Linked DNA regions of Xenopus tropicalis. The protein of the gene in region 1 interacts with the protein of each later gene in a pairwise test. Links are inferred from orthologs where the notes say so. Each region holds a gene or a part of one and is shown in the gene's direction. Other genes may lie near its edges.

Evidence for each region.
Region 2: the proteins of mia2 (region 1) and ttc23l interact in binary tests that used the Homo sapiens proteins (3 or more experiments, as listed by UniProt). The two-hybrid records come from large-scale screens. The link is inferred for Xenopus tropicalis from reciprocal best matches to the Homo sapiens genes MIA2 and TTC23L.

What each region holds. Positions count from the first base shown.
Region 1 is NC_030684.2:90,883,591-90,887,424, forward strand, and holds part of mia2 (melanoma inhibitory activity protein 2), read left to right. Parts: intron 1-109; coding exon 110-156; intron 157-1,313; coding exon 1,314-1,404; intron 1,405-2,120; coding exon 2,121-2,259; intron 2,260-3,139; coding exon 3,140-3,241; intron 3,242-3,336; coding exon 3,337-3,397; intron 3,398-3,834. UniProt on the Homo sapiens protein: Plays a role in the transport of cargos that are too large to fit into COPII-coated vesicles and require specific mechanisms to be incorporated into membrane-bound carriers and exported from the endoplasmic reticulum.
Region 2 is NC_030677.2:199,192,552-199,196,266, reverse strand, and holds the end of ttc23l (tetratricopeptide repeat protein 23-like), read left to right. Parts: intron 1-921; coding exon 922-1,049; intron 1,050-2,002; coding exon 2,003-2,140; intron 2,141-2,787; coding exon 2,788-2,870; intron 2,871-2,968; coding exon 2,969-2,990; 3' UTR 2,991-3,211; downstream 3,212-3,715. Other genes in the region: brix1 (ribosome biogenesis protein BRX1 homolog), read right to left, coding at 3,578-3,715.

The sequences.
Region 1 (3,834 bases):
CACCTGCCTCATTATTGGAACAGAGGTTTGTTGTTTTGGGGGCTGTCTTACTAGCTTATTGTCTGACGATGTTTTTTTTTTTTTTTTTCCTTCTTCCTATAAAATGTAGCTGACCCTCAGAAGCGGACTATAAAAAAGTTAATTTATGCTGCCATGGTATGTCTTGCATTTATTTATTTTTTTCATTCCTGTATTCATGTTTTTCATTTTGTGTGCATTTTGTCTCAAATTTTCTGGGCTGACTTTAGAAATTGTTACTGATTTTGGTAAGCAAAGATTTCCAGAAGAAGGCTGATTTGCCACTACAGAAGGTTAACTGCACTATTTATCTTCCAGTATGGAAAATAAATCTTACTGATGGCACTTCTTCCACCCGTTTCCTTTTCTTCATCAACACATATGAGCAAAAGTTTGCCAAAACGCTTGAGTGTGACCCAGCTGCAATCAGTAGATAGAGCTTTTAACAATGTTCAAATGTGCAGTGAAAATCCAACACTGCACACACTCCAAAAAGCTTTATGCAGTGGTGCTTGAACCCCTTATGTTCTTCCCCCAGTCAGTTGTATATGTGTGTACATTTGAGTGCACTTTTACACTTCAGAACATTTAATAAAAGTAATAGGAATAATCCTATATGTTAGAATGGATGAAGGGAATATATATTTATAATGTAAGGTGCGTATCGCTGCCTGCTATAGGTATCCTTGTAGAAACAATGTGTAATAAATATACGTGTGTATATATGTATATATATGTGTGTGTGTGTGTGTATATATATATATATATATATATATATATATATATATATATATATATATATATATATTATACTAGATAACGAAGAAGCCGCTCTCACAGGACTTATGTACAAAACAAATAATCTTTTTATTAACTGGTGAACTGACGTTTCGCCTGAAAACCTCAGCCTTTCTCAAAGTTATATAAAGTTATGTATGTGTATGTGTGTGTATGTGTATATATATATATATATATATATATATATATATATATATATATATATATATATATATATAATATATATATATATATATATATATATATATATAATATGTCAAAGTCTCAACAGGCACTCACTTTAGAACTCTGGCAAAATGCCTGGGTGCAGTCCATAAAATGAAAATAATGTAACAAAAATGCAAGGTATATATATATATATATATATATATATATATATATATATATATATATACGTATAAATAAATGTCAAGTTTAAAAAATTATAAAAAAAAGTTATAAATAGTGCTTGTTTATGTTTTTGTACATTTGTTAAGACCATCTCTTACCATAAACAGCTAAATGCATCATTGAGAAGTACAGAATCGGAAAAGAAACAGTTGTATGATAACCTCTCTGATGAAATGAAAGTCAAAGAACAGCTTTTAGGTAAGTTAATGATTCTGTACAAACCACATATGGGAAAAAACACAAGTCTTTTTTACCTTCCCCTTCAGCATCACTTGAGACTCCAGCATATTTTTTACAAATCTTAGCTGCATGAGTGAGGGGTTACTTAATAAGGGACTGCTGTTGAAGTATGCATATAGTGAATCTGGTTCATACTGTGTGGGTGCAAATTTACATTAGCATACAGACCTCCTTGCCAGAAGTGTCTGTAGAAGGTTACTGCCTTCATAAAAAGTACTTCAGATTGTACAAAGCTGGAAATCCCCATGTGATTAATACACTGGGTTACATTCCCCCCGCTTCTCAAATATGAACATTTTTCTATTTTTTTCCTATATCTACTTACATATAGAATTTGAACCCCATTATGTAGCATTTTTTCTTGGCCTCTGTGTTTCCAGGAAAGAATTGCCTGGCAAGTACTTGAATAAGAGCTTTCAAGATATTCTCACAGAGGGCAACAGAGAGCAATTTCAGTCATGTTTGTGTGTGTGTGATTTGCTTTATTGCCCTATGACCAAATAATATATTCCCAATTTTAGCAGACATCCAATACTAGTCTGTGTATAAATAATGGTTATGCAGATTACTTCTCTCCATATTTTTTTTCTCTTTTAAGGAAACGTATCTATTGGCACTGGTAAATGTATTACATTGCCATGTTTATTACATACATGTTTCTTTTCTTCTGTCAGAATGTATTAATAATCTTCAAAATACTAAGCAGTCCCTGATCTCTGAAAAGGAACAGCTTGAAGGAGATGTGGAAAATATGAAGCACAAAATGAGTGTGATGTCAGAAATGTATCAAGAAAATGAAAAGAAACTTCACAGGTATAATGTTGCATAGCTACAGAAACTGACATTGGGATACTACTGTAGCAAAATCAGAGCAGCTTTAGGGTACAGGTATAGGACCCATTATCCAGAATGCTCGGGACCAAGGGTATTCCGGATAAGGGGTCTTTCCGTAATTTGGATCTCCATACCTTAAGTCTACTAAAAAATTAATAAAACATTAATTAAACCCAATAGGATTGTTTTGCATCCAATAAGGATTATTTATATCTTAGTTGGGATCAATTACAAGGTTCTGTTTTATTTCTACATAAAAAAAGGAAATCAGTTTTAAAATTCTGAATTATTTGCTTATAATGGAGTCTATGGGAGACAGGCTTTCCGTAATTCGGAGCTTTCTGGATAACGGGTTTCCGGATAAGGGGTCCGATACCTGTATATGCAGCACAAGCACAACAGATAGTCATAGAAGCAAGTTACTACAGTAAAGTTGTTAAAAGGACATACATTTTGCTTCTAGCTTCTCTCTCTCTCATAAATAATATCAGTATGTATTATGGTATCAGTCATGTGATTGGTGTATGTAGGGATCTGTTTTTGAGATTTACTTGCAAGACTACGTGCTTCATGCTAGAGTTTCTAACAGATGCATATATTATTGATCTCCTATACTTGAAATTTACAGACTATTGTACAATCATATACAATGTGACCTAAGCACACAGTTTTTAAAATTGTTCACACACAAATGTTTTTGAGCACCAAACCAAGAAGAAATTAGAGGGAACATTGGTCAAATACAAAGTTAAATTACATGATGAGTATATGAACTACTTGCACTTTAATGCATGGTGTGCCAGTAATTATGCACTTTCTATTTGTGTTGTGTTCTATATTTGCATTATTATCATTTCAGAAAGTTGACCGTGCAGGAGAAGGAGCGTATTCAAAAAGAGGAGAAGCTTTCAAAAGTAGATGAAAAAATACATTTGGCAACTGGGGAACTTTTGACTGTCAAGTAAGAGAATAAAAATACATAGATAAATCCTAAATAGAGTTATAAGCTTTGCCATGAAAGGATTTTAATGTTTTGCCCTCTCATGTCCCCAACAGGACACGGGTGAAGGAACTGGAAGATGAAATTGAGAAAACAGTCTATTCCTACCAAAGTCAGGTCTGTTACTTTTGTTGAACTGCATGAAATACTTGAAGACATTTTGCTATGGCTGTATTTTTAGCAGGGCGTTGGAGCGAATCCAAACAAGGCTATATTTACATTGTGGTCTTTCCAGCTGCTAGTAATGATAAACAGCCATTATAGGTAAAAAAAAAAGAGTAGAAAGATTGCCAGCACACTGTTTCATCCCTTATAAAATGAGAATTTCACTTACCTCTTATCGTAAATTCCATTTCTTCTAGTCCCGACATGTCAGTACGCATGGGCAGTATTGCCCCCACAGCTAGGAGGTAGGACCTATATACCAAAGCCAATCAAAATTAGCCCTTACCTATAAGACCATGTGACTTCCTCCTCACCACTGTTATACATTTGCCAAGCAATACAAGAAGCAAATATTTGGGATGGGAAACCCCGTACTGACATGTCGGGAC
Region 2 (3,715 bases), on another chromosome or scaffold:
AAATATCTCCAAAATACGATCATTTATCACCCAAGATGCTGCCAAAATTCTTATTCACTCTCTTATAATATCTCGCCTGGACTACTGTAAATCCCTATTAATTGGCCTTCCCCTCCAAAGACTGTCCCCTCTCCAGTCCATAATGAATACTGCTGCCAAGCTCATACACCTCTCCAACCGCTCCTCCTCTGCCGTGCCACTCTGCCAATCCCTGCACTGGCTTCCCCTACCATCCAGGATAAAATTCAAACTAATGACTCTCACATACAAAGTAGTTCATAACTCTGCCCCACCCTACATCTCTGAACTTATCTCTAGGTACCATCCAACCCGCTTGTTACCCCCCTACTGACCTGCTCCTCAACTCTTCTCTCATTCCCTCCTCACACGCTCGCATTCAAGACTTTGCAAGGGCTGCCCCCCTTCTCTGGAATTCACTCCCACAAACTGTCAGACTTTCTTCCAATCTCTCTGCCTTCAATAGATCTCTAAAAACACATTTATTTAGAGAAGCTTACCCTAATCTAGTTTAGCAACACCCTGTGCCACACCTCTCACAACTCTGGTCATGCCCATTCCCACACCTTGTGTCTCAACCCTTTCTCCTTGTAGATTGTAAGCTCTTTTGGGCAGGGCCCTCTTCACCTCTTGTATCGGTTATTGATTGCTTTATATGTTACTCTGTATGTCCAATGTATGAAACCCACTTATTGTACAGCGCTGCGGAATATGTTGGCGCTTTATAAATAAATGTTAATAATAATAATAAGGTGGCACCAAGGCTCTATACATAGAACAGGCCCTACAAGGTGTTGTTTCACAGGAACAAGTGCTACGTGAGTAGGTTTGTAGGTTTGAGAGCAGTGGTATCTGTAGCACGGGAGACGCCATATAATGGACAGGCTGTGTTTCTGTTATTAGAGGCAGCACAAAGGTTCTTCACAGAGAGCCTCGGCGCTTACCAAACAGCGGCAGGTCCTGATGACCCCCGGACACTGAATGCCTGTGTGGAATTCAGCAAGTGGCTCATCCAGATTGGGAAGAAGCAGGTAGGAATGCATGGCATGCCTTGCCCCTACATCTCCCTACAGTGGGTGGCCAGCCTCCCATGGGACTGGTTCATTGTATCACATGTTCACCACCCTCTCATGATCATTTGGTGAAACCAGACCGAAATGTATATGGCTGACAAATAACCCCCTCTTTTCATTGGTCAGCATGAAACTGACTCATTGGGCCACAGGTCAGTCAGATTAATGCAACCCAGCAACTGCTTGCTGTGCTTACACTGATCTGGTGGGGCAATTTCGCCATTCTAGGCACAACTTATACATGTGGGGTTATTTAATAAGGCAAGTTGGTCCACACAGGAAATCCAGGGCACTGATGCCCCTACCAACGTGGACCACACTTCTCTCCTACATCCCTTGAGTTACACTTGTTTTATCAGCAGCAAAATAAGTGCCCCTAGATCATTTTCCTATATGAGGGCAAATTGCACATTCTAAATAGACTGAGATCTGACTATAGGGGGGCCTAGTTATAAGTCACCTGACCCGATTGGCTGCTAGAGTGAGAAAAGAAATCTTCTGCTTGGGGTCAGACTAAAGGGCTTGAATAGCAGATGCCTGCCACAGTGTAGTAGCTTTGAAAGGTTTCCTTCAGGCAATTTTATCTTCCCCACAAGAATATATAACAGCAGTGTCACCAAGTGGTTTCTGCACCTAATTAGTGTCAGAGCGGGCCCTGCATTCCAGGCACTCCTATTGAGCTTTGGGGGCCCCAGTTCAACACTGCTGCCATTTGGCTCCTATAATATTGTGATAAATTGGCTGCTAAATACTCACAGGATCTTTGATGCTGGGACATTGGAACAGAAAGGTTAAACCTGCAACCCCCATCTGTAGCCTAAACACCTGCACTCCCATTATGTCTGTTACGCTGCCCAGCCCCCCCACTGAGATGTAGGACTTGCTGTATATTCATTTGTCTTGGGCTGCAGGAAGCGTACAAGCTGCTCCGAGGGGCCGTCAGGACGGAGACAGAATTTAGTGAAGAGCTGGCTGAGATCCTTAGTATAATGGGAAGCATATGCTTAGCCGATGGGAAGATACAGAAAGGCTACAAGCTGCTGAAAAAGGTCAGTTCTTATGGAAGTGTCTGCTCAGTTCTTTGGACTGGCGATACCACTGGCTTCGTAACCACACTATGGTCATACAGTACTGCCTAGCAGTTCCCCATGCTTTACAGGGCAGCTTGCCATAGCCACACTAGCGCATTTTGCTGTATAGGGGTCTCCTCAAAATATTGAGATTATACAGCAAAATGGTGCAAACCCATAGCAACCAACCAGCAGTTAATATCAGTGTATAGTCCGGTTGGAGTTAATGCATACATTTAAGAGAATATTATGGTACCAAACGCTTTACCATGCATAAGTAAATGTGCCTTACTGTGCCTTAATATGGGGGTATAGCTCAGGGCTTCAGGCAGTTATACAGGGAATATTACTCATGTATTATAAGGGATAATGTACACCCTACTGTAAATAAGGATATTAGAAGTCACTGAGGGATTCTGTGACCATATAAAGGCACAAGGCTGCAGGCTGAGTTATACAGGGAATTCTGTGGTTTTGTGACCATATAAAAGGCACAAGTTTTAGTGACAGTTACTATAATGTGTAGGTTGAATTGTTTGTCCTACAGCCACAGTGCTATGACCCTATACACATACAGTGCAGCCAGCAATACTATGCACTCACCCTACTAACATTTATTCTTCCAGTGCTCAGACATTCAGGTTGCAGTGTATGGATCCCAGCACAGTAAAACCAAAGGAACACAAAATCTCCTCACCACACTGAAGAGGTAAGTTATATACTGGCCCAGCTGCCTGGCAATTCAGCACAGACAACAATGTGTGGAGCGCACAAAAATTTAAAAAAAAAATGTTTTTTTTTTGCCAGGTCTGGAGTGGTTGGAGACTGAGAACAGCAAGGAATGCAGAATATCTGAACATCTCCTACTGGGAATAAAGTGGGATTATGAGACTTGGACTGCAAAGCAAGGAAAGGCAACAAGTAGCCAGGATATCCAGATAAGTCTTTCCTACTCCAAATGTATATCTTTCTACTGCTGTGCCCCAGATCATGCTAGATCATGCAAGATTTTGTATTTATTTCAGTATAAAAACATTGTTTTGCCAAGAGCGTCATTGCCTTCTGTTTGGGTCATTAATCATGAAGGTGCATTGGGAATCTGAACGCTAACTGCTGAATCCGGATACAAAGCGCTGGTGCTGGCGGAGGAGCCAGATATGCTTGTGCCAGGCAATATATTATCATTGGTTACTTAGTTTAGTTGGCTCCATCCATCTATGGGAACATACAGTGTTTTCTGCGTTAAATAAAATGCCCCACAAGCCAGCCGCCTGTTTATGACCTAAATCTACATTAAGAATAAAGAATGAAAAGCACCCATACAGCAGCAGAATAGCTTTTAGGATAAGGTTTAATATACAAAACAGCCATACCCCGTGCTAATACCCCCTCCCCCAATACCCGGCCCCCCAAACATCACATGCGTTTCTTAGCCATTCTCTGCCTTTTGAACTGCTTGTCTTTCCTCTTCACCTTGGGCTTGGGTGCCGGTGGCTCCGTCTCAATGGTCTGAGGTTTCTCCTCAGCTGGAGTATAGAACACAGACTCTGTGGG